Arabidopsis thaliana: one gene and its partners. The protein of the gene in region 1 purifies or fractionates together with the protein of each later gene. This does not show direct contact. Each region holds a gene or a part of one and is shown in the gene's direction. Other genes may lie near its edges.

Region 1 (9,654 bases):
CAAAGGATTCAGGTGCTTGATTTGAATCTGTGATTTGACATGATTAAAACTTTATTTTAACTTTATGTAGGAGGATGGAGGGTGCGATGGAAATAACTCCACTAGTGAAACCCATCCGGGAGCCTCGGGTTGTTGTTCAAACTCTGAGTGAGGTTGACATTCTGGATGATGGTTATAGATGGCGCAAATATGGGCAGAAAGTCGTAAGGGGGAACCCAAATCCCAGGTTTGTACAGCATTAAAGCTTTTAACACCCCAAAAAATTCCTTGCTTTTTTCTCGAATGAACATACATAAACATAACTTGCGAGTTCAAAATGGTAGCTAGAACAGTTTAGTCCTTGTCTTCAGGACCTAGTTATTTGACATGTGCATAAAGTGTTGCTTCTTTTAGGAATTTGGTTTGGAATATGGAAGATAGTGATCTTAACAGACTCAACATGTGCGCAATGGAGATATTATGTTTCATGATGTTCCTCGGCCTTTTGTAGGAGCTACTACAAATGCACAGCTCATGGATGCCCAGTGAGAAAACACGTGGAGAGAGCATCACATGATCCAAAAGCTGTAATAACAACATACGAAGGCAAACACGATCATGATGTTCCCACTTCAAAGTCTAGCAGCAATCACGAAATCCAGCCTCGGTTCAGACCAGATGAAACAGACACCATCAGCCTCAATCTTGGTGTTGGAATCTCATCTGATGGACCTAACCACGCTTCCAACGAACATCAGCACCAGAATCAACAACTTGTCAACCAAACTCACCCAAATGGAGTCAATTTCAGGTTTGTTCATGCTAGTCCCATGTCATCCTACTATGCTAGCTTAAATAGCGGTATGAATCAGTACGGCCAGAGAGAAACAAAGAACGAGACTCAAAATGGTGACATCTCGTCCTTGAACAATTCATCTTACCCATATCCGCCCAACATGGGGAGAGTACAATCGGGTCCGTAAAACAAAAAGTAAGCAACATTATGTACGGGATCTTCTTAGGTTAGGAATGGGACGAGGCCTTGTTCTATATAATTCCTATTTCTTCACAGAGAGCTGATCTTGATTCAAACTATCTCCACCATATATATTTGTTTGTGTCACCTGTATTGAGTTCCAAAAATGTTATGTAAAAATACACAACAAGATGTTAATGCTTTTATTTAAACAAGAAACAGCAATATTACTACAAACTATTTCTTCTTCACCGTAATTAGATATGCTCCATGAAAGAAACACCACGACGGTACTTAAGCTACGTGGTCCTTAAGCAGACAATTACAACTGTTGCCCGTTTTTCAATAATAGTTTCTCAACTTTTAGTTCTAGACTTCTAGATTTGTCAAAAACTCATAATAATGAGATATAAATACTTCGACTAGGTGATTTACCATGGGACAATATTAAACTTTGTTCAATTATTTGGAAGGTTATACTATACAGTCTCTATACAAAATTAAGAGATTTGTGCAAGAAGTAGATTGGCAATTAAAACAGTAACCTTATTCTCTCTTACATGTATCTAGATTATTTGGTGGAAGTTACAATCTCTAATTTCATATTTAGAACTTTTTTTTTTCCGAAGCATTTACTGTTGTTAAAGACAAACATATTAGATTCTTTTAGATCATAGTACCCGTTAAGCAAATAAAAATTTTGTCGCTATCAAACTAATGACATTATAAGTCATTTATAATCATCGTCGTCAAAATAGTCTTGTTTTTTTCACCGGACCAGTGAATCATTTTCATCTTTTGCGGAAAGGTAAAAATCGGATTATCATGTTAATTTTTTTGCAAAAATTGACAACGCTATTTATGGTAGCGGATCGAATCCATCATAAAAAATATTTAAATATAAAATAACAAAATTTGTTAAAGTCACTTATACAATTCTATTCAATTAGATCATTTTACCTAATATAGCGTTGTTTAAATCAATTATAATTGAACATTCAACGAATTCGTTAAATTTCTTTAAAAAGAAGTACATTTTAAGAAAGAGTTTGTTTTAATCATTTGTTCAATCACATAAACTTAGCTTCCTTATCATAAAGAAGTAAAACAATTTCATTAATATTAAACCGATATAGCAATTATTACGTATCAATTTTATTTTTATCTGTTATATAGTAATTTTATAGATAATTTATTTACAAAACTATCATATCATTGAAAAATTACCAAATTAAATTTGTAGTTAAAAAAATATATTTTTCTATAGGTCACAAACATTGAATATGTTAACTTTTTTTGTCCAAAAACCTAATATAAAATCCTTGAAATATAAAGTCTAGGCTCGGTACCTGGTTCGGAACCGGACGTTAGGGTAGTTTATAGCGTCATCGATCCACGAGATGCATCAAACATAAAATCTGAACCGTTGATGAACTCTATTACAGCAATGAAATCGGACGGTAATGATTCATCCTAAGCCTGACGTGGCATTAAATTGTATTTAAAATCTGGCTTTGCGTCCGAATCCTTGAATTTCTCTCTCCTAAAAAACGCTATCAAAAAGAAAAACAAAAGCTATTTGTTCTGTTTTGTAAGAAAAAAAGTAGTTAGAGGAGAAAAAAAACTCAGTGCCGAGTCTTGTGATACTCTGAGGTGAGATTCCGAAGTCTTCTGCTTTAGAACCCTGTGGATACTCTGCTTAAATCTTTGTGAGCTTTTATGTTTTGAGCTTTGTTTGAATTCGCATGTTCTTTTGGTTCTTCTTTGTGTTTGTTTAAAGTTGCGATGAGAAGTTAGGGTTTCTCATGCGCTTCTTTTATTTGTGAATTTCGATGTTTTGATTATTTATTGTCTTTTTGATATCTGATGCTATTAAGTTGTTGACAAAATGCATGAATTTGACGTTGATTGACTTGATTTCGAGAGATTCAAGATGGGTTTGTGTTTTGTCTGAATCTGTGTGGTGTAAGCTCTGGAGATTTGTCTGAATGAAAGGGTGTTTTTTGGTTTCATTTGTCCATCTGGATCTTTGTTCTACTGAATGTATAAGAAGCGAGGATAAATGATGAACCTTCGAGATTTTGGTTTCTTAGTGACTTACGCGAAATTTCCATTTAGTTCTTCTTCTGCAGATCTAAAGTGGGATTAAGTGATAATTATGGATCAATAATGAGATCTAAATTAGATTTGTCTTATTGTTGACTAGCCAAGTTTTAGATGTTGTTTTCCTGGAATTAGTTTTTTTTCGCATATATGCTAAGTGTGAATTCAATGCGTTTTACATGTTCTTTATGTCAAGTTGTTCAATTTCTTTATAGAGAGCATTAATTTCTGCTATCGTAGCAATATTAATCCTCTGAACTGATTTCTCATTCACAGCCACAAGAAGTGTTTTTGGTGGAAGGATCTACTGAACTGGTTTGTAATATGGGGGAAGATACAAAGGCAACCATTGAGCCAACCGCAAACAAGACTACTTCTCTTGAAAAGCCATCAGAGGCTATGGCTGGAAAGGAGAATGCTGGGGGTAAGGAAACACAAGAACTGGCGAAAGATGAGGATATGGCTGAGCCAGACAATATGGAGATAGATGCTCAGATTAAGAAAGATGATGAAAAAGCTGAGACGGAAGATAAAGAGTCAGAGGTTAAGAAAAATGAAGACAATGCTGAGACTCAAAAAATGGAAGAGAAGGTTGAGGTCACCAAAGATGAGGGACAAGCAGAGGCTACCAACATGGATGAAGATGCCGATGGAAAGAAAGAGCAAACTGATGATGGTGTTTCAGTGGAAGATACTGTAATGAAGGAAAACGTGGAATCTAAAGACAATAACTATGCCAAAGATGATGAAAAAGAGACCAAAGAGACAGATATTACTGAGGCAGACCACAAAAAAGCTGGGAAGGAGGACATACAACATGAAGCTGACAAAGCAAATGGAACAAAAGATGGCAATACAGGAGACATCAAAGAGGAAGGGACACTGGTAGATGAAGACAAAGGGACAGATATGGATGAAAAAGTGGAGAATGGGGATGAAAATAAACAAGTGGAGAATGTTGAAGGAAAAGAAAAGGAAGATAAGGAAGAAAATAAAACAAAGGAAGTTGAGGCGGCAAAGGCTGAGGTGGATGAGTCAAAGGTAGAAGATGAAAAAGAAGGGAGTGAGGATGAGAACGACAATGAAAAAGTGGAGAGCAAAGATGCAAAGGAAGATGAGAAAGAGGAGACAAATGATGATAAAGAAGATGAAAAAGAAGAGAGCAAGGGTTCTAAAAAGCGTGGGAAAGGGACGAGTTCTGGAGGAAAGGTTCGCGAGAAGAATAAAACCGAGGAAGTAAAAAAGGATGCAGAGCCTAGGACTCCTTTCTCTGATCGCCCTGTGCGTGAGCGGAAATCTGTTGAGAGGCTTGTTGCATTGATTGATAAAGACTCCTCGAAAGAATTCCGTGTTGAAAAGGTTTGCCAAAACTTTCCTGAGCTGAGTAGAACTTTATTGCTAGATATGTTTATAATAATCCTTTGGATATTACAGGGGCGAGGTGCATATCTCAAAGATATTCCCAATGGTATGTTCATATTCTATCTATCTGTCCTTCAAGCATCTATCTCGAATTATCCTTGTGCTGAAAAGTCTTTTGTGTTAGCTTTCCAAGTTTACAGTTTGAGCCCCTTATTATCTTCAAGTGTGCGTAGCCTAAACGTTCTTTTGTTACGAGAATTCTATGTGCTGGATACTACTAGTTGTTAAATTGCATGTATACTATGGGTGGATTCTTTGATCTATACACTTTTCGGTTCTGGTTATGTGAATCTTCATTTGAATTTTTTTTCTTGGCATTGATCAATTCCAGCCGGCTCAGAAGCAAGATTTCTTGTAAACCAAAATCTAATAATCGCGACCTACCTAAAAAATACCTTTATTGTTCCATTTTTTCATCTTTTTATTTTTGTTTGAAGTTGAAATGAAGTAGATAACTTGAATGTTTCTTCTCTGTAGTTGCTAACAAGGTAATGAGGAAGAGGTCTGATGAAACTTTGAAGCTGCTTCACCCAATTCTATTTGGTGGGAGGAGAGGGAAGGTGAGCGTCTCTTTGGATCCTTTTGACATTATGCTGCTCCAATAGTCATACTTCTAAAATTGTCAATCATGGGCATACTCTTGTAGTTTGAGACCAGTGGTATGGACTCATGTGCTGTAGCAAGTCTGCTAATCATGTTTGTATGTATCTTATTCTTCTTGCTTTAACAGGCTGCTCAGATCAAGACAAACATATTGGGCTTCTCTGGTTTCGTTTGGCATGGAGATGAGGTGTGCAACATTACACATAATGAATGCTTTTACATATGCCTTTGCTTTGTATATAATTGTGGCTCTTTGGTATTTGCAGAAGAAAGCAAAAGAAAAAGTAAAAGAAAAGCTTGAGAAATGCACCAAAGAGAAACTGTGGGAGTTTTGTGATGTGTTGGACATACACATTACCAAGGCTACAACAAAGAAGGTCATTATGGTTATCAATTTCTAAGTTTTTGTTCTTGAGATTCATTTTTTTCCTCTGTGAATAGATACATGTGAAGGTTTAAATTTCTGTCTTTGTTGAGCAGCTTGATTAGCCATTTCTGGTTGTCCAAGTTTATGCTTATTCATTTCCCCATTTAATCGAATCTGGCAACTTCTTGTTGCATGCTTTTTCAACACAGGAAGATATTATTACAAAACTGTTTGAGTTTTTGGAGAAACCTCATGTGACAGGTGATGTGACCGGTGACACTACAGTTTCTGAGAAAGAGAAGGTAATGTGGTGTTGGGAAAGTTTTGTTTGCTTTAATAACTATTGTGCATCTTACATTCTTTAAAAACATTCTGTTGAAACAGTCAAGTAAGGGAGCAAAACGCAAGAGAACTCCCAAGAAAACTTCACCTACAGCTGGGAGTTCATCCTCCAAACGATCAGCAAAGGTAATGCATAGCTTAGAGCTGAGGGCTTGCTTGTTCATTAATCTTGTTATTAACTCTGAAAAGAACGTGTAATCTCAATGTAGCTTATTTGCAACTGTCCATCACTGGTCAACCCGTCAATGTTTCTGGCTAAGTATTTTAATCTGATTATATTATTCTGCACTTCCTTTGCAGAGCCAAAAAAAGTCTGAAGAAGCAACAAAAGTTGTCAAAAAGAGTTTAGCTCATTCTGATGATGAATCTGAAGAAGAGAAAGAAGAAGAAGAAAAACAAGAGGAGGAGAAGGCAGAAGAGAAAGAAGAGAAAAAAGAGGAGGAGAATGAAAATGGCATTCCTGATAAATCTGAGGATGAGGCGCCTCAGCCTTCTGAAAGCGAGGAGAAAGATGAATCTGAGGAGCATTCTGAAGAAGAAACTACAAAGAAGAAACGTGGTTCTAGATTGTCAGCTGGGAAGAAAGAATCAGCAGGGAGAGCCAGAAACAAGAAAGCAGTGGTCGCTGCAAAATCCAGTCCACCAGAGAAGATTACACAGAAGCGGTCATCAGCCAAACGAAAGAAGACTGATGATGACAGTGATACAAGTCCAAAGGCGTCCTCTAAGAGGAAGAAGTCTGAAAACCCTATCAAGGCCTCCCCGGCTCCTTCAAAGTCTGCATCAAAAGAGAAGCCAGGTTTGGTCATTATCCTGTTTTTTTCTTCCAGTAAGATGGTCGCTTAGGTAGAATAAAAACATGTTGGGTGTAGTGTATGTCAGATGCATTGGAGAATCTTATTCCTTATATCTTCATTTTCAGAAGCGAACCAATATACAACCACTAATGTTTTCTGACACCATGTTTATCTCTGTTTGTGTCTATATGCTAAAAGTAAAAAGGGCTGGAAAAGGGAAAGACAAGCCGAGTGATAAAGTGCTGAAAAATGCAATCGTTGAGATCTTGAAAAGAGTGGACTTTAGTACGGTGAGTAATTTCTCAACCTTTTATATGCGATACACTTAACTACTTGGGATGTGTGTGGAATAAAACAAAATTGGATTCTGCCGAACAAACTTATTGGTTACATGAAATAACCTTCGTTTTCTGAAAGCTGATTTGAAGTTTGTTGTGCAATATCTATTCAAACTGTGAATTTCCTTCTATACCTAGATAACCTAATAAGAGCATTGTTGTTCTTCTGCAGGCTACGTTCACGGACATCCTTAAAGAACTTGGTATGAACAGATTGGTTTCAGTCATTTGTTTTTCCAGTGATTCCTGGTTATATATAAAATAAACACATTGTTTCATCCATCTTTCAGCTAAGGAGTTCACAGAAGATCTCACTCCAAGAAAGTCATCTATAAAGATGATAATCCAAGAGGAGCTCACCAAATTAGCAGATGAGGAGGAGGAGGAGGAAAAGAAAGAAGAGGATTCAGAGAAGGAGGAAGCAGGAGGGTCTGGTGGTGGTGAGGAGGTGAAAGCCTAAACTCCTTTCTGATCACATCGCACATATTGAGTCTCTCTGTCAGATACTGTTGCCTAATGCCTAGTAGTCATCTGGCAAATGTGTAAGTTAAATCTGTGGATGTAATATTTTGTTGTTGGAGTCTGAACTGCGTAAAGCAGCTTTACTTTTGGTAGAGACAAGAGGAAGAAGCTGCATAGCCAAAGGATAGGTTGCTTGTATGTCTATAGCATTTAACATAAAAGCCTCCTTGGATTGTCTTTGATTTGTGAGGCTCCCTTTTCGAGACATTGTCAAGGTTTCTTTTGTTTATGTCTTTTGGTTTGAAGGAGGCCAATGGTAATAAATGAATAATATGTTTCTCTTGATTCCCTTTAAGACTTTGAATATTGCAGAAGGAATTTATGCTCATCTTGTATCCTTGATCTATCTCTAACATATCTGCAAATCTACCAACGCAAATCCAGTCTAAGAAATGTAGGAATTGGTACCTCATAAACATATACAACAAAGATTAACATTGATGAAGAAGAGAGTCTGTATTCTTACAGGACCAAAATATACAGAAAAGAATCTGTGCTCTTCTTCTACATCCCCTTTTCGGACAACCCAAACACAAGTTCCAAAAGAATGTAATTGCTGTTGTTACATTCAGAGTACCTAAATAGATTGCAATGGAGACACTGCAAATACATAGAATTCAAAGCAGATGGCTAAACATGGTTAACTATAAGCATAAGCAACACTTGTCCAGGCTTTTATCATTCTGGCTGCAGCTACTATTATCTTATTTGATGTACTAGATTCGAAAAGACCTGTCACACACACAAAGGCAAAAGTACCGGTCCGATTGCAAAATAGAATATCGATTAAGGAGTAAACCGGAATAAGAGTAACGGAATATACTTGACAGACCTCTCTCAGTAGAAGAATCACTGAGAAACTTTCACTTCTTCTTCGTCTCCGTAGTTTCAGTTTCGATCTGTAAAGTTTCAAACTTGTGGTCGAATTTTTAAATGGGAAGTGGAAGAGATAGAGACGACCCTTTATCCTTCACCAGCAATCCATCTACGGCGTCGTCTCCAGTCACTGTATCTGACTATCTCGACAACTTTCTCGGCGAACCCACTTCTCGCTCCGGTAGTTTTCAAAGCGAGAGCTTACTCGGTGGAGGCGGTGGAGAAAGCATCAACGACGCTGATTTTGGATTCGCTCGTCCTGATTTCCGATCGGAACAACTAGCTGGAACCGTACAGTTTTACGAGAGGCATGTCTTCTTGTGCTACAAAAAGCCATCTGTTTGGCCCGCAAGGATCGAGGCTGCTGAGTTCGATCGATTGCCTAGGCTACTCTCTGCTGCTGTATCGGCCAGAAAGGGTAGCATGAAGAAGGAGGTCAGCTTTTTACTCTACTATTTTCTGATTCCATTGATTCAGCTTGTTCGCTGTTAACTTGCATCTCCTGTTTCCAAGTATATTGCTTGATTCTCATAAATCTAGGTCTGATTGTTTCCAATAAGTCTCCCAAATAAGCAAAAAGCATTTGCGTTCACTTGTTTTGGCTTACTTAAAGTATCTGTTTAAGGTCGTAATGAGTCATAAAAACTCTTGCCTGGTGACTCTTGGGATTTCTGTATGGGTCAAATAAGGCAAAGTTTCTATTTTTGGCACGATTCTATGGCTAACAACATAATAACTTGTCTATTGGCTTCAAGATGGGATCTTAGGACTTGCACCTCCGTTTTTTGAGCTATGACAGTGGTGAACTTAAGTGGAAATGGTGTCTGTAATGGATTGCTTCTTTTCGGATAGTCTCATGATGATGCCTTCATGATTGTCTTTTGCTTTGTGCCTCATGTTTTTTTTTTTTTTTTTGGCCATTGTTTCGTAGACTCGACTCACAATATGTGAGGGGCATGATGGAACAGAGACATCCAATGGTGATGTACTTATTTTTCCTGATATGATCAGATACAGGTAAGGGGTGAAGTCTTCCTAGTTGGAGATTTCTTAGATTTGGTTTCGTTTTTTCTATCAACAGTTGGGACTTTTTTTTGACAGTTTTGATTTAACAAAAATTGCAGGAGATTGACTCACTTTGATGTGGAGACCTTTGTGGAAGAGGTGCTTGTGAAGGATGGTGAATGGCTGCCTGGAAATCCTGAATTGCTGAAAGGCTCATATGTCTTTGTATGTTCCCATGGATCCCGAGACCGGCGATGTGGGGTTTGTGGGCCGTCGCTAGTTAGTAGATTCAGAGAAGAACTTGAGTTCCATGGTCTTCAAGGT
Region 2 (7,499 bases), on another chromosome or scaffold:
TCGAAGTAAGACTAAAGCTCAAGTTAAAACAGAAAAAATGTCAACTTCAGAAAACACTCCGTTTAATGGCGTTGCCTCATCCACCATTGTTCGAGCTACCATTGTCCAAGCCTCCACCGTCTACAACGATACTCCCGCCACTCTAGGTAATCTATTAATCATTTTCATTTTAGGTAGGTCAAGTTTACGTAACGTTCTACATGAATTTTGTTTTCAGAAAAGGCGAACAAGTTTATTGTGGAGGCTGCAAGCAAGGGATCGGAGCTGGTTGTGTTCCCGGAGGCGTTTATCGGTGGTTATCCTCGAGGTTTTAGGTTTGGTTTAGGGGTGGGAGTTCATAACGAAGAAGGGCGTGATGAGTTCCGCAAGTACCATGCTTCTGCTATTAAAGTTCCTGGTAAATGCTATTCTGTTGACTTTTTTCTCTTATTGTTTTTTTGGACAACTTTAATCTTTGATAAACGTCAAAACAATTGTGCTTGATTATCTGAATATCCATGTACACCACCTGATCTCGGATCCCAATCTCTGATCCAATCATATCGGGTCTGAAAAATTGAGTATCCAAATCAGTTTTGTGTAAACTAGGTTTGGACACTGATCCGTAGTCATATGCCCTATATCTGATCTTTGCAACAATTCACTATGTATATGCGTTATTACCAAACCGAAAGATACCCGTTTAAAACTATCTCTACATATTTAGTATTTACATAATTACATATAATCTTATTTAAGAGAAAACAATTATATTTGAAGTTAGAAATCATGGTCTTTGAAATATGATGTTAGCTTTGAATATTATAATTTTTGGTTAAATATTCTGAAAAGAATATGACTTTTTAAGCATTAAAATGTTATAAAAGTATGAATACTGACTAAAACGTAACTTATAAAGTATTATTTTGTTTATATGGTACTTTTTTTGTGTGATGAACCTGTAGGCCCTGAAGTAGAAAAGTTGGCGGAGTTGGCCGGGAAGAACAATGTGTACTTGGTAATGGGAGCGATAGAGAAGGATGGGTATACACTCTATTGCACAGCACTTTTCTTCAGTCCACAAGGTCAGTTCTTGGGTAAGCACCGTAAACTCATGCCCACAAGTTTGGAACGTTGCATTTGGGGTCAAGGAGACGGATCAACCATCCCCGTTTACGACACTCCGATTGGAAAACTCGGTGCTGCTATTTGCTGGGAGAATAGGATGCCCCTCTACAGAACTGCTTTGTACGCCAAAGGTCAGCTCTTGATGCAATTTAGTTTGAGTGTTTGACAAATGTAGCCTTTAATAAAAGATTCTAACACTTTTTTTTTTTTTTGGTGCGTTCAGGCATTGAGCTTTATTGTGCACCTACTGCTGATGGTTCGAAAGAATGGCAATCGTCGATGCTTCACATTGCGATCGAAGGTGGATGTTTCGTATTGTCGGCTTGCCAGTTCTGCCTTCGTAAAGATTTCCCTGATCATCCTGACTACTTGTTTACCGATTGGTACGACGACAAAGAGCCTGACTCTATTGTTTCCCAAGGTGGAAGTGTTATTATTTCACCTTTGGGACAGGTTCTTGCGGGACCAAACTTTGAATCAGAGGGTCTCATCACAGCTGATCTTGGTAAAAATATATATAATCTTCTTTAGTTTTTATCTTAGGCTATAGAAAAGGATAATTTTTTTAGCTAATCATATTTTATTTTTGTCATCAAGATCTTGGTGATGTAGCAAGAGCTAAGTTGTACTTCGATTCGGTTGGACATTACTCGAGACCAGATGTTTTACACTTGACCGTAAATGAGCACCCGAAGAAACCGGTCACATTCATTTCGAAGGTGGAGAAAGCGGAAGATGACTCAAACAAGTAATCGGTTGTGATTCGTCAGTTCATGTCACTCCTATGAAGGAGTCAAGTTCAAAATGTTATGTTGAGTTTCAAACTTTTATGCTAAACTTTTTTTCTTAATTTTCGTTAATAATGGAAGAGAACCAATTCTCTTGTATCTAAAGATTATCCATCTATCATCCAATTTGAGTGTTCAATTCTGGATGTTGTGTTACCCTACATTCTACAACCATGTAGCCAATTATTATGAATCTGGCTTTGATTTCAGTTGTGTTCTTTTCTTTTTTTTCTTTGCATATTTGCATTTAGAATGTTTAATAATTAAGTTACTGTATTTCCACATACATTAGTTCCAAGAATATACATATATTAATTTATTTTTCTTAAAAATGTTTTGGAATGACTAATATTGACAACGAAAATAGAAGCTATGCTAAACCATTACGTATATGTGACTTCACATGTTGTTGTTTTACATTCCCTATATATATGGATGGCTGTCACAATCAGAAACGTGATCGAAAAAAGACAAACAGTGTTTGCATAAAAAGACTATTTCGTTTCATTGACAATTTGTGTTTATTTGTAAAGAAAAGTGGCAAAGTGGAATTTGAGTTCCTGCAAGTAAGAAAGATGAAATAAAAGACTTGAGTGTGTGTTTTTTTCTTTTATCTGAAAGCTGCAATGAAATATTCCTACCAAGCCCGTTTGATTATTAATTGGGGTTTGGTTTTCTTGATGCGAACTAATTGGTTATATAAGAAACTATACAATCCATGTTAATTCAAAAATTTTGATTTCTCTTGTAGGAATATGATTTACTATATGAGACTTTCTTTTCGCCAATAATAGTAAATCCAAAGATATTTGACCGGACCAAAACACATTGATCTATTTTTTAGTTTATTTAATCCAGTTTCTCTGAGATAATTCATTAAGGAAAACTTAGTATTAACCCATCCTAAGATTAAATAGGAGCCAAACTCACATTTCAAATATTAAATAACATAAAATGGATTTAAAAAATCTATACGTCAAATTTTATTTATGACATTTCTTATTTAAATTTATATTTAATGAAATACAGCTAAGACAAACCAAAAAAAAAATACTTTCTAAGTGGTCCAAAACATCAATTCCGTTCAATATTATTAGGTAGAATCGTACGACCAAAAAAGGTAGGTTAATACGAAATTACAAACATATCTATATACATAGTATATATTATTACCTATTATGAGGAATCAAAATGCATCAAATATGGATTTAAGGAATCCATAAAAGAATAAATTCTACGGAAAAAAAAAAAAGAATAAATTCTTTTAAGTTTTTAATTTGTTTTTTATTTGGTAGTTCTCCATTTTGTTTTATTTCGTTTGGATTTATTGTGTCCAAATACTTTGTAAACCACCGTTGTAATTCTTAAACGGGGTTTTCACTTCTTTTTTATATTCAGACATAAAGCATCGGCTGGTTTAATCAATCAATAGATTTTATTTTTCTTCTCAATTATTAGTAGGTTTGATGTGAACTTTACAAAAAAAACAAAAACAAATCAATGCAGAGAAAAGAAACCACGTGGGCTAGTCCCACCTTGTTTCATTTCCACCACAGGTTCGATCTTCGTTACCGTCTCCAATAGGAAAATAAACGTGACCACAAAAAAAAAACAAAAAAAAAGTCTATATATTGCTTCTCTCAAGTCTCTGAGTGTCATGAACCAAAGTAAAAAACAAAGACTCGAGTTGATATGTCTAGTACTAAAGATATGTCAACTGTCCAAAACGCAACTCCTTTTAACGGCGTTGCCCCATCCACCACCGTGCGAGTTACAATCGTCCAATCCTCCACCGTCTATAACGATACTCCTGCCACTATAGGTAACCAATCCATTAATTCATCCTCTGACCTATTTTTATTTTTATTTTTTGATATGTAAAATTTATCGAAAACGTTCCATTTCAATATGTAGACAAAGCGGAGAAGTATATTGTGGAGGCGGCAAGCAAGGGAGCAGAGCTAGTGTTGTTCCCGGAGGGGTTTATCGGTGGCTATCCTCGAGGTTTTAGGTTCGGTTTAGCGGTTGGCGTTCATAACGAAGAAGGGCGTGATGAGTTTCGGAAGTACCATGCTTCTGCTATTCATGTTCCTGGTATTACTATTTACTTCCATTATTTGTATTCTTTTTATTATCATCTTATCTTGTATTTTATCCATAAAATGATTTTTGATACATTTTTAACCAATCAATGACTTTGAACCATATCCTCAATTATTGCATGCTTATCCTAGGCCGAGTGTATTCAAAGTATACACCACCCGATCTCGGATCCAAGCCTACCAAAAATTTGGATATGCGGATCTAGATGACAATATTTATCCTGATCTTTATCTTTTAAATGTATAAATTACTATATGTTACATTAAATTTTATAATTTTTACACCAAAAAATATAATATTAAATCTCTTTAATTAAAGATTTTTTTTATTTCTCCTTTATTTGGTTGCTGGATTATGATTTTTAGTTGGCTATGGTTGGAGTCTTGGTGATGTGTATAAGTTTTGGACAATTGAATTTTATTTGGAACAAAGTAAACTTAACTTTGAGGGAAAATATGTTTGATTTCGAGTTCTCTTTTTTTTTGTCACGTTTAGATGAAATTTAATTGGAACAAGCATCTAATTAATGAGTGTTCTTGCTCTAGTTTAAATTTAGTTGAGCACTCTCAATATCTTGGAACACAAAATGACTCTTTTTGGTTTTTGTGATGAATCTTCAGGCCCTGAAGTAGCAAGATTGGCTGACGTGGCTAGGAAAAACCATGTGTACTTGGTAATGGGAGCCATAGAGAAGGAAGGGTATACCCTCTATTGCACAGTTCTTTTCTTTAGTCCACAGGGTCAGTTCTTGGGCAAGCACCGTAAACTCATGCCCACAAGTTTGGAACGTTGCATTTGGGGCCAAGGGGACGGATCAACCATCCCCGTTTACGACACTCCCATTGGAAAACTCGGTGCTGCTATTTGCTGGGAGAATAGGATGCCCCTCTACAGAACTGCATTGTACGCCAAAGGTCAGCTTTTAATGCAATGCCGTTTGAAACATCTAGGCTTTTACAAAAAAATCTTACAAAGTTTTTTTTTTATTTTTCGTTTTTGGTGTTTAGGCATTGAGCTTTATTGTGCACCTACTGCTGATGGTTCGAAAGAATGGCAATCGTCGATGCTTCACATTGCGATCGAAGGTGGATGTTTCGTCTTGTCGGCTTGCCAATTCTGCCAGCGTAAACATTTCCCTGATCATCCTGACTACTTGTTTACCGATTGGTACGACGACAAAGAACATGATTCTATTGTCTCCCAAGGTGGAAGTGTCATTATTTCACCTTTGGGACAAGTTCTCGCCGGACCAAACTTTGAATCAGAGGGTCTCGTCACAGCTGATATTGGTATGTATATGTATATTTACACTCTCATTTGATAGTCATCTTAGGTTATAGAAAAGGATAACGTTTTTTTTTTTTTTTCCATCAAGATCTTGGTGATATAGCAAGAGCCAAGTTATACTTCGATTCGGTTGGACATTACTCGAGACCAGATGTTTTACACTTGACCGTAAATGAGCACCCGAGGAAATCGGTTACATTCGTGACGAAGGTGGAGAAAGCTGAGGATGACTCAAACAAATAGTAAGAGACTTGAAGTTCGTATCTGCTGGAGTTATGTCAATCGTATGGAGTCAAGTCCAAAATGTTCTGTTGCGTTTTCATTTTATGTTCAAGTTTATTTATCTTTCTCTTCAATGGTAAGATCTATGGAGTCAAGTAATAATGGTAAGACTTATGTTGTTGAATAAAACGAATTGGTTCTCTCCTCTTGTATTTTAAAACTGTGCCATTATGTTTATCTAATTTGGGCGTTGGGCGTTGAATCTCAATTGTTGTTCAGCCGTATAACTATTTAGCCAACTATTATGAATTAGGCTTTTGAGATCTCTGTTTTTTTTTTTTTTTAATATCAGGAAGTTCTGGATCGAAACTTGTAATCCTTCCAGGCCCGAAACCACATCGTATAATATTAGTTTCGTTCCAAGCGTTACTCGAACCGATGAACTCTAGCTCCGCCTAGGATCTTTACCAATTGAGCTAACGACACTTGGTTTTTTCTCTCAGATCTCTGTTATGATCTTTCTAATTTTCTTTGTACGTCAAAAACATATATTTTCATGTTTTAATAATTTTCCTATTGCATAGAATCACAAGGAAACATATATAGTCAAGACTTGAAAATCATCCATTCGAATCTAATGAGAGTTTGAAAAGAGTCTACCAAATTACTCAATTGTCAAAAGCCGAATCATATAGGATAATGATGGCTAACCAAAACCAGGAAATTCAAGTCACATATAGGATAACTAAGAATTAGTGAGTTATTAAGTCTCAAAAATTAGAACGTCGTTTATTTATTTTGTCGTCAATTTTGCTATACTTCTATGGTTGTAGTATTGTTTGGGGTCAAATATATCAACCACCCCGCTCTTTACATAATTAACTAGGTGTTGTTCCATGTCTTGCGTACGTACGTCAGATTCATTTTAAATATGTGGTTTAGACATGTGCATGTGAAGAATACTTTCCGTGAAGAATACTCCCTTTAACGAAGACAATTTGGTTATAACATAAATACATAATTTGAAGTCTAGTTGCGATGGTGTTTGAAATGGTCTTAATTATAAATCACAAATTTGGATTGTAATTGATGAACATGGATTTTGAAATACTTGATTGAAAAGGAATCTATGTCACGTAGCTTTTTAACGAGTCAAAGATTGCACAATCGAAGCTACAAGCAAAAAGTTGTGAATAGCTGTATGCAAGACGTAGACGTTGCATTGCGAAGGAAAAGGAAGTCTCTATAAATTGGAAACCTTTGAAAATTCTAATCAAAGCGATCATTATATAATTATGATAACTCACAACTCGAGTTTTAACCCAAATACGAACTTACTTAACCGCGCATATTGGACAGTCAAATGCATGTTAGTAAGTCATAGCCAAAAGGGTCACACACCAGAAAATATTGGGGTACGTAGAACTTAAGTAAGACGAAATAAGTTTTTTTTTTGCCTTCGTTGTCAGAAAAGAATATCAAAGCATTATGCATATTTGCATGAATTCATGAATGTACAAACACACAAAGCACCAATAATGGGATTAAGAGTTGAAATCGTTCTAGAAGTCATATAACGAAATTAGATCAATCTTCTTTCAAAAAGTATAACCTAAATAGTTCAAATATATATGAATCATGTGCCATCCTTTGGATGAGAGAAATTTAAGAAAAGTTAAGTCGAAGTTGACCAGTTCACAGAAAAAAAAAAACAGCTAAACATTAACATTGATTAGCCAAATATTTTTTGCTCCTCTAAGTTACTATACGCATTTTAATTAAAATTTAGGTGATCAATCAAATATTAGCACGAAGATCATCCTAGATGGAAAACTAATTGAATAAATCTCTAAATCATCATCTTTAATCTAACAAGCAAAACAACTCCTTGATAATCCTAACCCCAATTGAGGATCTAACTTAGTCATAACAAAAGAACATAAGAAATAAATATAGAAGAAATATGTTAAAATATAAAATAAAAAATCCAGG
Region 3 (6,654 bases), on another chromosome or scaffold:
GTTATCTATATATAACACACACAAAAATGTTTCAGACACTTATAATTGATATAATTAATGTATATGGATTTGTGCACAACAAACAAAAAATGACTTATTCACATGCAAGTTTTTGGGAATTGCTAACTTTGCAACCACGTATATGTGTACAATTGAAAAGTCACATAGAATGACGACTGCATAGACCTATATTATTAAAAAAATAAAAATTGTCCATTTTGATCAAGAATGATGGATCATAATTTGATGTATATATACGTATGATGATTATAAAATCACATATTTTGGGAGACTCACGTACGCCTTGAGGAGACCAAGACCAACCCTAACCCCAAAGCTTAATCGCTTTAGCAACGACAAGGACAAGACACCACTTACTTCTATGGAATCTTTACCACAATGTGTGTAATAATCTAACAGCTGAGTAGAATTTGCTCACACTGATACTACATACAAAATCTAATTGTATCAGTCATTCACATGTGAAATAATGTATGATTTAAACGAAAATTATGTGTATAATAATTAACGTAACTGAAGATAAAAAATATAAAATAAATATTTGCTTATTTTATGTGTGTTAATTGGAGATAAGAAAAAATTGGTATTTTATTTGAAATCGTGGTAGAAAATTTCTCAAAAGTCGTACTAATGCCTTGAGTTTTGATCAGTTTTGAGTTTTTTTAGTTTTTTTTTTTCTTTTTCTAATTGTGTGCCATTTGTAGTGTTTAGGTGTCTTTTATGTGTACATAGTTGTCTATCGATTCATTCAAGTTCCAAACTGCTTTTAGAGAAAAAAAAAAGGGGGGCATTAATTGGGGATGTTATCGACATAAGTATGTGTATATGGGATGTGATGAGAGATTTTTCATTGCTGGATGGAGCTCAAATTTGGCATATACTAGAAAACTGAGAGAGTTTTATTTGGAGGTGGTTTGAGATCATTCGAATGGTTGAATACTTTTTTAGAAAACAGATTACTTTTGCGAAATTTGTTTGAAAACAAATTTGGCATATACTAGAAAACAGATTTTGAACCTTTTCTCTAGTTTAATCTAATCATGAATTACTTTACAGTTTCTTTTGTGTTTAGAGATTGACACCATATTCTTCTTGATGCTCACGTTTCTCTTTAGGGTACATACGTAAAACTCTACTTCCCCTTTGGTTTCCAAGATTGCTTTCATCTCCATAGCTTATTGCTCATTCATCGCCTAACAAAACATTACACGAAGCATGTTGTTTAATGTAAACCAACATCATGAGACAAAGAAATATGTCAGTAAAACAATAGATTTCAGTCACTCTATATCTAAAGATTTAACGACATGCTTTTGATTTCCCTTGAATGCAAGAACCAGTTCTTTCTTCACAGGAGTAATCACAAGTTTCTGAAATAACAGAGAACCCATATTAAGAACAAGCTATAGAGACAGAGATGAACATGTTGACTTGATTACCTCTACTTCTTTAGGTTCTGGAAATTTCTCTCAGCCACAGAGCAACTTTTCCTACCTACGGGTTTTGATCATCAATTCTCTAGCTGTCAAACGAAATGAAGAAAATACAAGATAAAAGTAAGTTTCTTACCGAGTGGGCACGTAAGTCGAATGCAGACCTATCTGCTATACCAACACATTCAATCCACCCATATGAACTCTCAAATTCAGCATCCAAACAATCTGCAGCATAGCGGGCCATTTCATTTGCAAAATGCTGGCGGAAACGCAACTGTTCCTTGTCTGTGCCAAGACGGACAAGGAAAAGATACACTCTCGCAATGAAGTAGCCTACAGTTTCTTTGTTCACAGTTCCCTATTCAAATACAGTTGCAGGCATCAATAAGCAATTAAGAAACAAAAGGTCTGAGGGAGTGCATACTAGAAGTAAGTAGACGCAGATGATTACAGATACTGACCTTGGCAACAACTTCGCCAAGGCAAAGTTTTTTCGCAGATTGGCCAGACATTTGTTCCTCTCTTGGAAACATAAGGAATTCAAAATTTGCTACATCAGAGAATTTCGGATGTGACTTATTCCCAGGATCAACAAAATGCTCAATTTCTGCCAGCGTGAATTCACAAACTCTAAGAAGCCCTTGACGATGAGATATCTGCAAGTAATATGCGTCACTTATTAAAAGCCAGACATAAAAGAAAGAAAAAAGAGTCCCTGATTGAGATAAACACATCCAATCTATCAAGCAAAGGAATAGAAAATTAAACGATAATCACCTCATTTCTAAAGGTTGACCAATTTGAGCAGCAGCAAAGGGAAATTTCCTCCCATTGTAGTAATACAAGTCCTTCACAAAAATGCCTTGTTAGAGTGTTCTTCGTGTCTGGAGCAATAATCCTTAAGCAAGTGGTCCGTCCGCACTGTAACAAGTTCCAGTTTTCTCATTCTTAACCATTAGATCAGTGAACTGGTCTACATGTCCAGATGCCTTGAGAACAACCTCTGGTGTCACACATGGACAATCCACTTCATACATATTCTCCTTAAGAATGAAATGCTATCTGAGAACAAACCTAAAACAATCTCTACTCTTCTCTATGAATCATGTCAAATTTGTCTCAATTTCTACTCAAAAGAGAAAGGTGAATGATGTTCCGTACTTACTTGACGCCAGAAGCTAAGAACATTGGATTTAACAGCACAATCCTTAATCAAATAGTCCGGCGACGTCACGGTTGATTTTGAAAGAAGGGATATAGAACAAACGCCGCTCGAGAGTATTAACCACATTTTGTCGAAATCAGCAGCTCCATGGCTGCATCAATCGTGAAGCCTTGAGAGCTTGAAGACATTCCCCTGAGCTTCGACGGAGGAAGATTTCGCCTATACTGATTTCCGCCGTTTGAATTTGATCGGAGCATTTTGTTTTTTCACAAACTTTCATATCTTTAACGACGTCGTTAGTACTGAAGAAAAACCCTAAAGAGTAAAGACCCTAACGGCGTCGTATTAAAACCCTAAAACGGCTTCGTATTAAAACCCTCTGTCTTATAAATAATCTCTTAAAACCCTTTCTTCTTCTCTTACATTTTCAGCTGCTCATAAACCCTAAAAATCCTCTCTTTTTCTCAACCTTGATTCTTAGCCATGGAGTTCTGGGGTAAGAATCTTCTCTGTTTTGTCTGAAGCTTTTTGGGTTTTTCTTAAAATCTGTTTTCGAACTCTCTTGTGGCTGCTTCCTTGTGTGGTGTAGTTGTGTAGCTTCATCTAGGGTTTTAAGTTGCAATATTCTCACATAGAAATGGTTATATTATATAGGAATTAGTGTGGTAGTGTATAACTTGAAGCTGTATCTTGATACTCATGTTGGTTTTTGTTAAAACGATGTAATCAGGAATTGAAGTTAAATCAGGAAAGCCAGTTACAGTGACTCCTGAAGAAGGCATTCTTATCCACGTTTCTCAGGTTTAGTATCAAATCTTATTGATTTTGATTCTGAGAGTTGTTAGAGGTCTAGTGTAAACAATCTTGGATTGTTTATCTGTGTAGGCATCGCTTGGAGAATGTAAAAACAAGAAGGGAGAGTTTGTGCCTTTACATGTAAAGGTTGGGAACCAGAACTTGGTTCTGGGAACTCTATCGACTGAGAACATCCCTCAGCTTTTCTGTGATTTGGTATTCGACAAGGAGTTTGAGCTTTCTCACACTTGGGGAAAAGGAAGTGTTTACTTTGTTGGATACAAAACTCCCAACATTGAGCCACAAGGCTATTCTGGTGAGTTTGCAAGATAAAATCTGTTTCAATTCAATTATTCTGTTTGTAACTGTAATATTGGCTTGGTTGCTGATGATTCGTTTATGTGTTGTATTGATATATTCAGAGGAAGAAGAGGAAGAAGAGGAAGAAGTTCCTGCTGGTACTTAAACTAGACAGAGACTACTTGATTTGTGATCCTGATAATTGGTAATAACTAGTTCCATTTGCAGGGAATGCTGCCAAGGCTGTAGCTAAACCAAAGGCTAAGCCTGCAGAAGTGAAGCCAGCTGTTGATGATGAAGAGGATGAGTCTGATTCTGACGGAGTGAGTTGTTATAGCTTTCTGTGATTTGTCTCTTTTTGTTTACCATTTCAGAATAATGACTGAGGAGATGAGACATCTTTTTTGAACAAATGTTGGTGACGCATTCTTGTGTTATGATTCTTGCAGATGGATGAAGATGATTCTGATGGTGAGGATTCTGAGGAAGAAGAGCCTACACCTAAGAAGCCTGCATCAAGCAAGAAGAGAGCTAATGAAACTACCCCTAAAGCACCTGTGTCAGCAAAGAAGGCGAAAGTAGCAGTTACTCCTCAGAAAACAGGTATAGATACAAACCATTCTCTTACATTATTCACTAAATTGGGAAACACGAGTATTCATTTGAACCTGCATCGTCTTCTTTGGCACAGATGAGAAGAAGAAAGGGGGAAAGGCTGCAAACCAGAGCCCAAAGTCGGCCAGTCAAGTCTCATGTGGTTCATGCAAGAAGTGAGACTCTCTCTCTTTCTCTAACTCTTGTCTTCACTGCTCAAAATTTCTGTTTGTTATAACATTTCGCTTGTTGGCTTATATCTCTTTGGCAGGACTTTCAACTCAGGGAATGCACTTGAGTCTCACAACAAGGCCAAGCACGCTGCTGCCAAGTGAAGTGGTTTCTTATTAGAGCTTGTGATTTCTATGGAATTTTGCCTGTAGTCTTTATGAAACCTTCGGATTTTCTTATATTTTCTTTTGATAACAAGAGTCTTAATGAAAGAGAGCCAGTTGGAGTCTTATTACCACTATATTTCAACATTCTATCTTGGCTCAAATGTGTTAATTTTAGATTCACGTTTTCACCATTTTCTGTTTCCACAAATCTGTTGGCCAATAGCAGAGTTTATTAGAAGAATAAATGAAGGTTTCACAACATTAAAAATGATCAATCCTTTAAGCCAGCAACTAATTTGAAGAACAAATATCCTCTGTTTTCATTATTACGGTTCTAGTTTCTTCACTGCTCTTAATGCTAAGTGTATGATTGTATGATTGCATTACTAGACTCAAGCTTATAGCGTGGTTCTTTATCGGCTTTCAACTTTTAACAACTATCTTTGCCAATCATTTTCACAAGGCTCATGTTTTGGAGGAAACATTGACAGGAGTCTTTCACCAGTTTTTTTAACCCCAAAGGTTAAAAACCTGCCAACAAGTATTTCATAATAAACAATTTCTCTGGAAACAATTACTAACAAAGAAATTGAAATCTTTCAAGAAACCAGAGAACTAGTATCAGCCACGGTTACAAAATTAGCTTCACACACGAAGAAACACAACACAAAACCAGAAACTACTGATTTCTATTAGGAAATTATCAGAGCAATCAAACTTGAAAGACTGGAATTGGGCAAAATAAAGCATGATCATTTAAAAATGAAATAGTACCTGTTAAAATGTAAATCCATGAACAATTGTAATTTATAGTAATCTGTAGAAATATTGTTGATCAACGAAAATTGTAATTGAGCACTAAAGATTTTTTCTCACTTCTCAGACACTCATAACAAAAGAAATATCTCATATCAAACCACTACTAAGCGATCATTACAAATCAAGTAAGATAATCTTCCAAGGACAATCAATAACCATCTCTTTTCGAGTTCATCATAAATTTCAAAGTTAGTAATATCATATTTTTTTAATTAATACATAAACCACACAAACAAACAAGGTATTCAAGTTAGCACTAAACTACTCAACACAGAGATTAAGGTAAGAAAAAACCCATGTAACAAAGCAAGCAAATACTACACAACAAACAACCGAAGAAGTCATAACTTCAAAGCATAAACCACCATAAACCACACAAGCACATATTCAAGTCAGCATATTAGACCATACAATACACAGATTTAAGTAAGTACAGATCATGCGCAACTAACAAAATTCAAGCCATAGCTTCAAAGCATAAACCATGGTCCACATAATAGTCCATAAAACAACCAATAAAATCATATTCTCACATCTAAATGTTCGTAACAATACTAAACAAGTAAAAGGTATCTTTTTCACTTTATACCCTGCACTAAGGAGAGTGATTGTCAAATAGATTCCACTGAATCAGTTGCTCAGGTATTCAAAAGTAGAAGCTTGTTAACATAAGATTTCTAACATTGGTAACTATATCAACCAATCTAATACAAACATAGGAGAAGCACATGACAAAAACCACAGTTGAGAGAATTACATGAAGAGTATGTAGACTGTTGTGAAAGTATTATCGAGAAACTCTTTGTGATCGATGAGAGAAGAATCCAGTCTCTGTCTTCTTATACGAACTAGATCTGCAACGATAAGAAGAAAAAAAACGTTGTTAGATGAATATACAAGTCTTTGATCTCTTAACTGTACTCAAAATTAATTTCACGATAACTGAAATTGGAACCCTAATTCAAAGAATCAGAAACACAAATCTTCAATTAATTTGAAGTGAAATCGAGTAAATCGAAATAAAAAACGATCGAAAGATTTTAAAAGAAAACCGATTTTTGAGAATTTGGAAGCCAGAGTTAATTCGATGAAGAGCATTATATAAATCTTTGTTTAATTTTACCCAAATCGAAGAGAGAACGAGAGAAAGAACTTAAAAGCGATTTTGAAATTTTGAAACTCTCGA
Region 4 (5,831 bases), on another chromosome or scaffold:
ACTTTAACCATCTGGTTACTTTGTCTTAGTTATCTTTTGTAGCTATTGCAGCAACATGATGCCGTTGTCCCTCGTAAGTCTTTGCAGAAACTATATGTTATTGTTTGCTAATGATATTTTGCGGCATACAGGTGAACTCACAACTCATTAGCAATGCCTGCACTGATGCCCTTTCTGCAGAGAAGGTAAAAGCTATTTCTTCCTGAACTTTCATGTTGCAAGAGATTGCTAGGGCATTCTTAACTGCAGTTTATTAACTTCATATTCTGATAAGACGAAATATTTCGATGAAGGATGTGAAAGCAGAAAGCTACTACAAAGTTATATTCTTTATGATTCTGATATCAAGTTCTACTTTCTTTTTTATTTGCAGTATTATTATTTCATCCGCCTCATGGGTCGTAAGCACTCTCATGTTGCCCTTGAGTGTACACTCCAGTCTCATCCAAACATGGTTCGTAACTGTTTCAGTTTCGAAACATAGACTATTGATTCTGTTGGCATGTTCATGCTCTAGACTCTCATTATCGTGTCATCCGATTGTCTCAGGTGATACTGGGCGAGGAGGTTGCAGCATCTAAGCTCACAATTTTTGACATTGCTAAACAGATCTGTGATGCTGTTCAAGCAAGAGCAGTAGAAGGTCTCGTAATGAAAACCATCTATGATTAGATTATGCAATCATGTATTTTACTGTGTTTACTAAATCTGGTACTATTTCATTTGTTTGAACCAGACAAGAATCATGGAGTCATCCTCATTCCTGAAGGGCTTATAGTCAGTATTCCTGAAGTCTACGCTCTGTTAAAGGTAATGATTTGATACTTGTTTCTTTCTTCAATACTGAGATGTACTTCTTAGTATAAATCACGTATAAGCTGACATTTGTTTGATGTAGGAAATTCACGGGCTGCTGAGGCAGGGTGTATCTGCTGATAAGATTTCTACTCAGCTCTCACCTTGGTCATCTGCTTTGTTTGAATTTCTTCCTCCATTCATTAAGAAACAGGTTCAAATTCTTTGAAATTAGAATTATCTTTGTTTTCGTTCAAAGCAAAGGTGTATTAATACATATAAGATGGTCGCCTTTCTTGCTACAGCTACTTCTCCATCCTGAGTCTGATGATTCTGCTCAGCTATCCCAGGTAATTATGAAGAACAAACAGAATATTTTGGACCTACTATGTTATAAAAAAAAAGTTGGAATCCTAAATGCTCTTTTTGCTTTCTACTCTAGATTGAGACAGAGAAACTTCTTGCGTATCTCGTGGAGACTGAAATGAACAAGCGCTTGGTATGCTCCAATTTTATCATTGGTTTCTATCTTTTCCCAATACTGTTATCTAAATAATGGAGTCATTATTTGGCATCAAAAAATACTATTGCTAATGTAATGAAATCTTTGAATTTGACAGAAAGAAGGCACATACAAGGGGAAGAAATTCAATGCCATATGTCACTTTTTTGGTTACCAAGCTCGTGGATCTCTTCCATCGAAATTCGATTGTGATTACGCCTACGTAAGTCACTAACAGTCTGTGCCACAGTACCAATGCAACTTCATAATTTAGATGAATATTAACACTATTGAATGGGAGAATCATGCAGGTTCTTGGACATATATGTTACCACATCCTTGCAGCTGGTCTGAATGGTTACATGGCAACAGTGACCAACCTAAAAAGTCCTGTGAACAAGTGGAAATGTGGTGCTACACCTATTACAGTTGAGTTTTGTCGTATTTTCTATCTAAAAGACGGCGGTTAATACAGTGTATTTCTATACTAATTCCCCATTCTTTTATCTCTGGTATTACCTTTTAGGCGATGATGACGGTGAAGCATTGGTCCCAGGATGCTAGTTATACTTTAACTTCAATTGGTAGACCTGCAATTCATCCAGCTATGGTGGATTTGAAAGGCAAAGCATACGAGTAAGTCAGCTATTACAGAAAACATGAACACACTCACGTTTGGCCTTATTTATCAATTGTTTGAATGTGAATGGTTTTCTTGCAGCCTCTTGAGACAGAATGCACAAAAATTCTTGATGGAAGATCTGTACAGAAACCCAGGACCGCTACAGTACGATGGTCCTGGTGCGGATGCTAAAGCAGTGAGTCTCTGTGTTGAAGATCAAGATTACATGGGACGTATCAAGAAGCTGCAGGAATATCTTGACCAAGTAAAAACTTTTTGTTTTTGTGTTTTTCTCTGCTAATTTCGTCAAGTATCGAATAATGTTCTTCGCCACTTTCATATTTATTAACATTTTTGGGGTTTGGTCAGGTGAGGACGATAGTGAAACCAGGATGTTCTCAAGACGTATTGAAGGCAGCACTGAGTGTGATGGCTTCGGTGACTGATGTTCTTACTACTATTTCTTCAAATGGTGGTCAATGATTTGCTTAAAACTTAAGGACAAAGCTCTTATGAATCACACACGTCGTGTTTGTTCTCTTCTTTTTGTTTTCTTTCTTTTGAGATGTAACTTTTGTTGTATTTTTTAAGTTATTGAGTTTGGAAAGACATAAAAATTGAAAAGGTTTGGATTATAGAGGCGCTATTTCACCATATCAATCCTTGTCCAACTTTTATTTTTCAGTTTCACTATTATTACAAACTTTTTTTAAATATGACAATTAGGCATGCATGCATGATGCATATAGCAATAGCATCGCTTGAACACGATTTTGTTTACAAAAAGAATCATTAAAATTTTAAGAGTTACATTTTTAATCTTAACTACACCAAAATACTAGAAATACAGTGTATCTTGCAAACTAACTTTAACAACCAATGACGTGTCATGTTCCCAAATCCCAGTTATAAATTTTGATAGATTTTTGACAGTATCTTAGGTACAGCTTTGGCATAAATACACTTTTATTTATTTTAAAAACTATCTTTAGCCTAAATACATTGTTAGTTATTTAAAAATTAGAAACTAAATGAAGAAATTATTTAGATATTAAGAAATATTTATCATTAAAAGATATTAGATTTTGTCATTTTTTTATATTAGTAAATTTTCTTTGTTCAACTAATGAAATTAATAACTAACAGATTATTTTGCAAAATGACAAACCTATAAAATATATATTAATATTTGATTTTCAAATTATCTTGCAAAATCATTCAAAAATTTAACTAAATTTATATTAATGTTGTATTTGAATTTTTCTTATAATGGTGAGATACTGAGATTATCCTTGATTAGAATTGATTGTTACTTTTTTTTGGTAATAATATGTTGTCTATTATTATATATATATATATATATATATATATATATATATATATGTTGAAAATAACACAAAAATATTCACATACGCCAAGCAAAATAGAATCATGAATAATTTGCCAAGAAATTCTCAATTTGATTCATCTTCCATCATCAATGATTTACCTTTAGACCTTCTCGACGAGATTCTCTTCAGATTAGAACCCAAATCTATGGCTATGATGCGATGCACTAACAATTCTATCAAATCATATTTAAGTGATCCAAGATTTGGACCGGAATATCCTTCATGGGTCAGACCTAGTTTGTTTAACCTTGGTAGCTATGGCGCTACTTATGTATGTTGCCATCCTTTGGTCTCTTCATGCGATTATATGTCACCGGGAAATGGAGTAGAACTGTTTGATGGTAGTGCGGATTGTTACATTTTCGGCTCATGCTCTGGTCTTCTCCTATTGTACATTGGTTGTCTCTTTGTTGCAAATCCCTTAACAAAAAGGTTTCGAATCCTGGATCATTCTGGATCAAAGCTTATACCAATGATAGTTAATGGTGGACTTAAAGGTCTTAGCGGAATTAGTTATCCTGGAGGTAATGTTGCTTGTACGGAACGAGCGATGTGCGTTGGATTTGCGGTAAATCGAAATCTAACAACCAAGAGATTCAAGATCGTGGGCATACTCGAGATGGAAAACGTATACGGATTCGAGATCAACGAAGGAGACTCTTGGAGATTATCGGAAACGAGTATCACCACTAGCTCAAAAAGTGATCTCACTACGCGGATGAAACCTGTTTACTTGGACAACACTCTTCACTGGCTGAGAAACGATGGCAGCATCATGTCTTTTAATCCCGAGACAGAGCAAGCATGCTTGATTCCTTCCATATTTCATCGGGAACCGGATACGAAGCTACTTTTCGCGGAAAGCGTTAAGATCAATCGCCTGACCCTAATTTCGGGGACGATAGAAACAATCTCCGTTTACACACTTGTCGAGAATCACAAATGGACACTCACAAGGCGGATCAAGAACATATCTATCGAGGAAGAAACGCTTGTATATTGGAACATAGCTATGTACGATGGCAAGTGTCTTGTGGTGAGGGTGAAAAAGATGGGTTTAGAACCTTTGGCAAGTGTTCTTCATGTGTACGACATGGAAGCTAACAGTTGGGGAGTTTTGGTGTCAACCCTTGCTTGGCCCAATTGCGTCCGAGATTTCTATAAATTGACGCCCTCCTTGTTCTTTGTAGAGGAGGATGAGCAACAGAAGGTGCTTGTTGCTTCTAATGACCGACGCATCTCCTATATAAATTCGATTATGGGACTCATTGATACCACCAAGTAAACATTTAGGGCCTATAGATTATACAAAAAATGTCCTGATTTATAAGAATGTTTGTTTCCCATTTGCTTTTATCATTGCACTATTATGGTTTATGTATTTCAAATCTAAAAATTAGTTGTATATTACTATTTCTTTTGGGACAAAAAATCATTTAAGACAATGTTGTTTAAGAACTTGTTCTTCTCTGGCTTGTCAATTTTTCGTCCTGCCCAATAAAGGCCCATCTTGTGTGTTTTGTCGAATCTAACAACAAACTCACACCTTTTGACCAAAAAACAAACTCTCCCCTTTTTTTTTTCCTTTCGTGTAGCTAAACCGTCTCCGGATGTTGACAAACATTGGTTATTCACTTTTTCCACGTCACACTTAAAAACAGAACATAAAAAAAAAACTAATGACGACGCTCCAGTTTTGAATTTTGAAAAAAGAAAAAAAGAACCGTTGAAAAAACATGAGTGCTCAAAGAGGGAATATACCTTTTTAATAATCTCCTTCCTATTTAAACCAATTCTCGAATCTAATTACATTTCCTCTCTCTTTCCCCAAATTGAAAACAAAATCTGAGATTCGCGAAGGAAGAAGAAGAGTTGTCTTGAGAGATTGATAGAGATGGACAACAATGGAGTTAAACCCGCTGTTTCCGCCATGGAAGCCTTTGAAAAGCTTGAGAAAGTAGGTGAAGGGACTTATGGGAAAGTTTACAGAGCAAGAGAGAAAGCTACTGGGATGATCGTTGCTTTGAAGAAGACGCGTCTCCATGAGGATGAAGAAGGTGTTCCTCCCACTACTCTTCGCGAGATCTCTATCTTGCGTATGCTCGCTCGTGATCCTCACATCGTTAGGTTCGATTTCCTTTTACATTTCTGATTCGGTTCAGTCACTTTCTGAAATTCTCCGATTTACTGGTTTTGATTGTGGATTTAGGACTCAATTTCGATTTCTAGGGTTTAGTCCCGATTAATTGATGTCTCAATTGATTTGATGACTCTGATTCTTCCTGCAAATCGCGCTTAGTGTCGCTCTTAGGTGTTACTGGTAGATCTTAGTTTCAGTTTGCTATTTGTTGTGTGGTCCGATCGAGATAAAATGGGTTCCTTATCTTATCCGAATACTAGAAAATGTCAAAGTAGAAGCTCTGTGTTGTGATCTCAGTTTCAACTATTTTTGTGGTGATTGCATTTCTACTGAGAGATTATTGTTATGATGATTATCTTCTTCTACAGGTTGATGGATGTT

What was found.
Region 2: the proteins of AT4G26630 (region 1) and NIT1 purify together in Arabidopsis thaliana (affinity purification with western blotting, with the first as the bait; one study listed by BioGRID). This does not show direct contact.
Region 3: the proteins of AT4G26630 (region 1) and HDA3 purify together in Arabidopsis thaliana (affinity purification with western blotting, with the first as the bait; one study listed by BioGRID). This does not show direct contact.
Region 4: the proteins of AT4G26630 (region 1) and AT1G20940 purify together in Arabidopsis thaliana (affinity purification with western blotting, with the first as the bait; one study listed by BioGRID). This does not show direct contact.

What each region holds. Positions count from the first base shown.
Region 1 is NC_003075.7:13,428,606-13,438,259, reverse strand, and holds AT4G26630 (DEK domain-containing chromatin associated protein), read left to right. Parts: upstream 1-2,489; 5' UTR 2,490-2,608; exon of another isoform or gene 2,609-2,664; intron 2,665-3,334; 5' UTR 3,335-3,382; coding exon 3,383-4,417; intron 4,418-4,492; coding exon 4,493-4,526; intron 4,527-4,957; coding exon 4,958-5,040; intron 5,041-5,210; coding exon 5,211-5,270; intron 5,271-5,349; coding exon 5,350-5,460; intron 5,461-5,659; coding exon 5,660-5,752; intron 5,753-5,834; coding exon 5,835-5,918; intron 5,919-6,092; coding exon 6,093-6,591; intron 6,592-6,787; coding exon 6,788-6,879; intron 6,880-7,099; coding exon 7,100-7,130; intron 7,131-7,217; coding exon 7,218-7,387; 3' UTR 7,388-7,855; downstream 7,856-9,654. Other genes in the region: WRKY20 (WRKY family transcription factor family protein), read left to right, coding at 71-226, 491-962; AT4G26620 (Sucrase/ferredoxin-like family protein), read left to right, coding at 8,383-8,760, 9,257-9,342, 9,450-9,654. UniProt on the Arabidopsis thaliana protein: Chromatin-associated protein which contributes to the modulation of chromatin structure (such as super-helical structure of DNA) and function.
Region 2 is NC_003074.8:15,983,314-15,990,812, forward strand, and holds NIT1 (nitrilase 1), read left to right. Parts: upstream 1-3,310; 5' UTR 3,311-3,587; coding exon 3,588-3,717; intron 3,718-3,760; exon of another isoform or gene 3,761-3,809; coding exon 3,810-3,989; exon of another isoform or gene 3,990-4,429; intron 4,430-4,618; coding exon 4,619-4,912; intron 4,913-5,005; coding exon 5,006-5,287; intron 5,288-5,373; coding exon 5,374-5,528; 3' UTR 5,529-6,192; downstream 6,193-7,499. Other genes in the region: NIT2 (nitrilase 2), read left to right, coding at 38-146, 218-397, 945-1,238, 1,331-1,612, 1,705-1,859. UniProt on the Arabidopsis thaliana protein: Can convert indole-3-acetonitrile to the plant hormone indole-3-acetic acid.
Region 3 is NC_003074.8:16,294,940-16,301,593, forward strand, and holds HDA3 (histone deacetylase 3), read left to right. Parts: upstream 1-2,748; 5' UTR 2,749-3,105; coding exon 3,106-3,118; intron 3,119-3,352; coding exon 3,353-3,423; intron 3,424-3,507; coding exon 3,508-3,733; intron 3,734-3,839; coding exon 3,840-3,875; intron 3,876-3,945; coding exon 3,946-4,040; intron 4,041-4,166; coding exon 4,167-4,320; intron 4,321-4,408; coding exon 4,409-4,487; intron 4,488-4,582; coding exon 4,583-4,646; 3' UTR 4,647-4,937; downstream 4,938-6,654. Other genes in the region: AT3G44740 (Class II aaRS and biotin synthetases superfamily protein), read right to left, coding at 1,471-1,515, 1,591-1,815, 1,919-2,113, 2,235-2,378, 2,623-2,748; AT3G44753 (uncharacterized protein), read right to left, coding at 5,087-5,180, 6,226-6,322, 6,592-6,654. UniProt on the Arabidopsis thaliana protein: Probably mediates the deacetylation of lysine residues on the N-terminal part of the core histones (H2A, H2B, H3 and H4).
Region 4 is NC_003070.9:7,294,038-7,299,868, reverse strand, and holds AT1G20940 (F-box family protein), read left to right. Parts: upstream 1-3,350; coding exon 3,351-4,595; downstream 4,596-5,831. Other genes in the region: AT1G20950 (Phosphofructokinase family protein), read left to right, coding at 132-185, 374-454, 550-643, 737-810, 899-1,009, 1,101-1,145, 1,238-1,294, 1,416-1,520 and 4 more; CDKB2;2 (cyclin-dependent kinase B2;2), read left to right, coding at 5,205-5,437, 5,819-5,831. UniProt on the Arabidopsis thaliana protein: Probable component of an E3 ubiquitin ligase complex.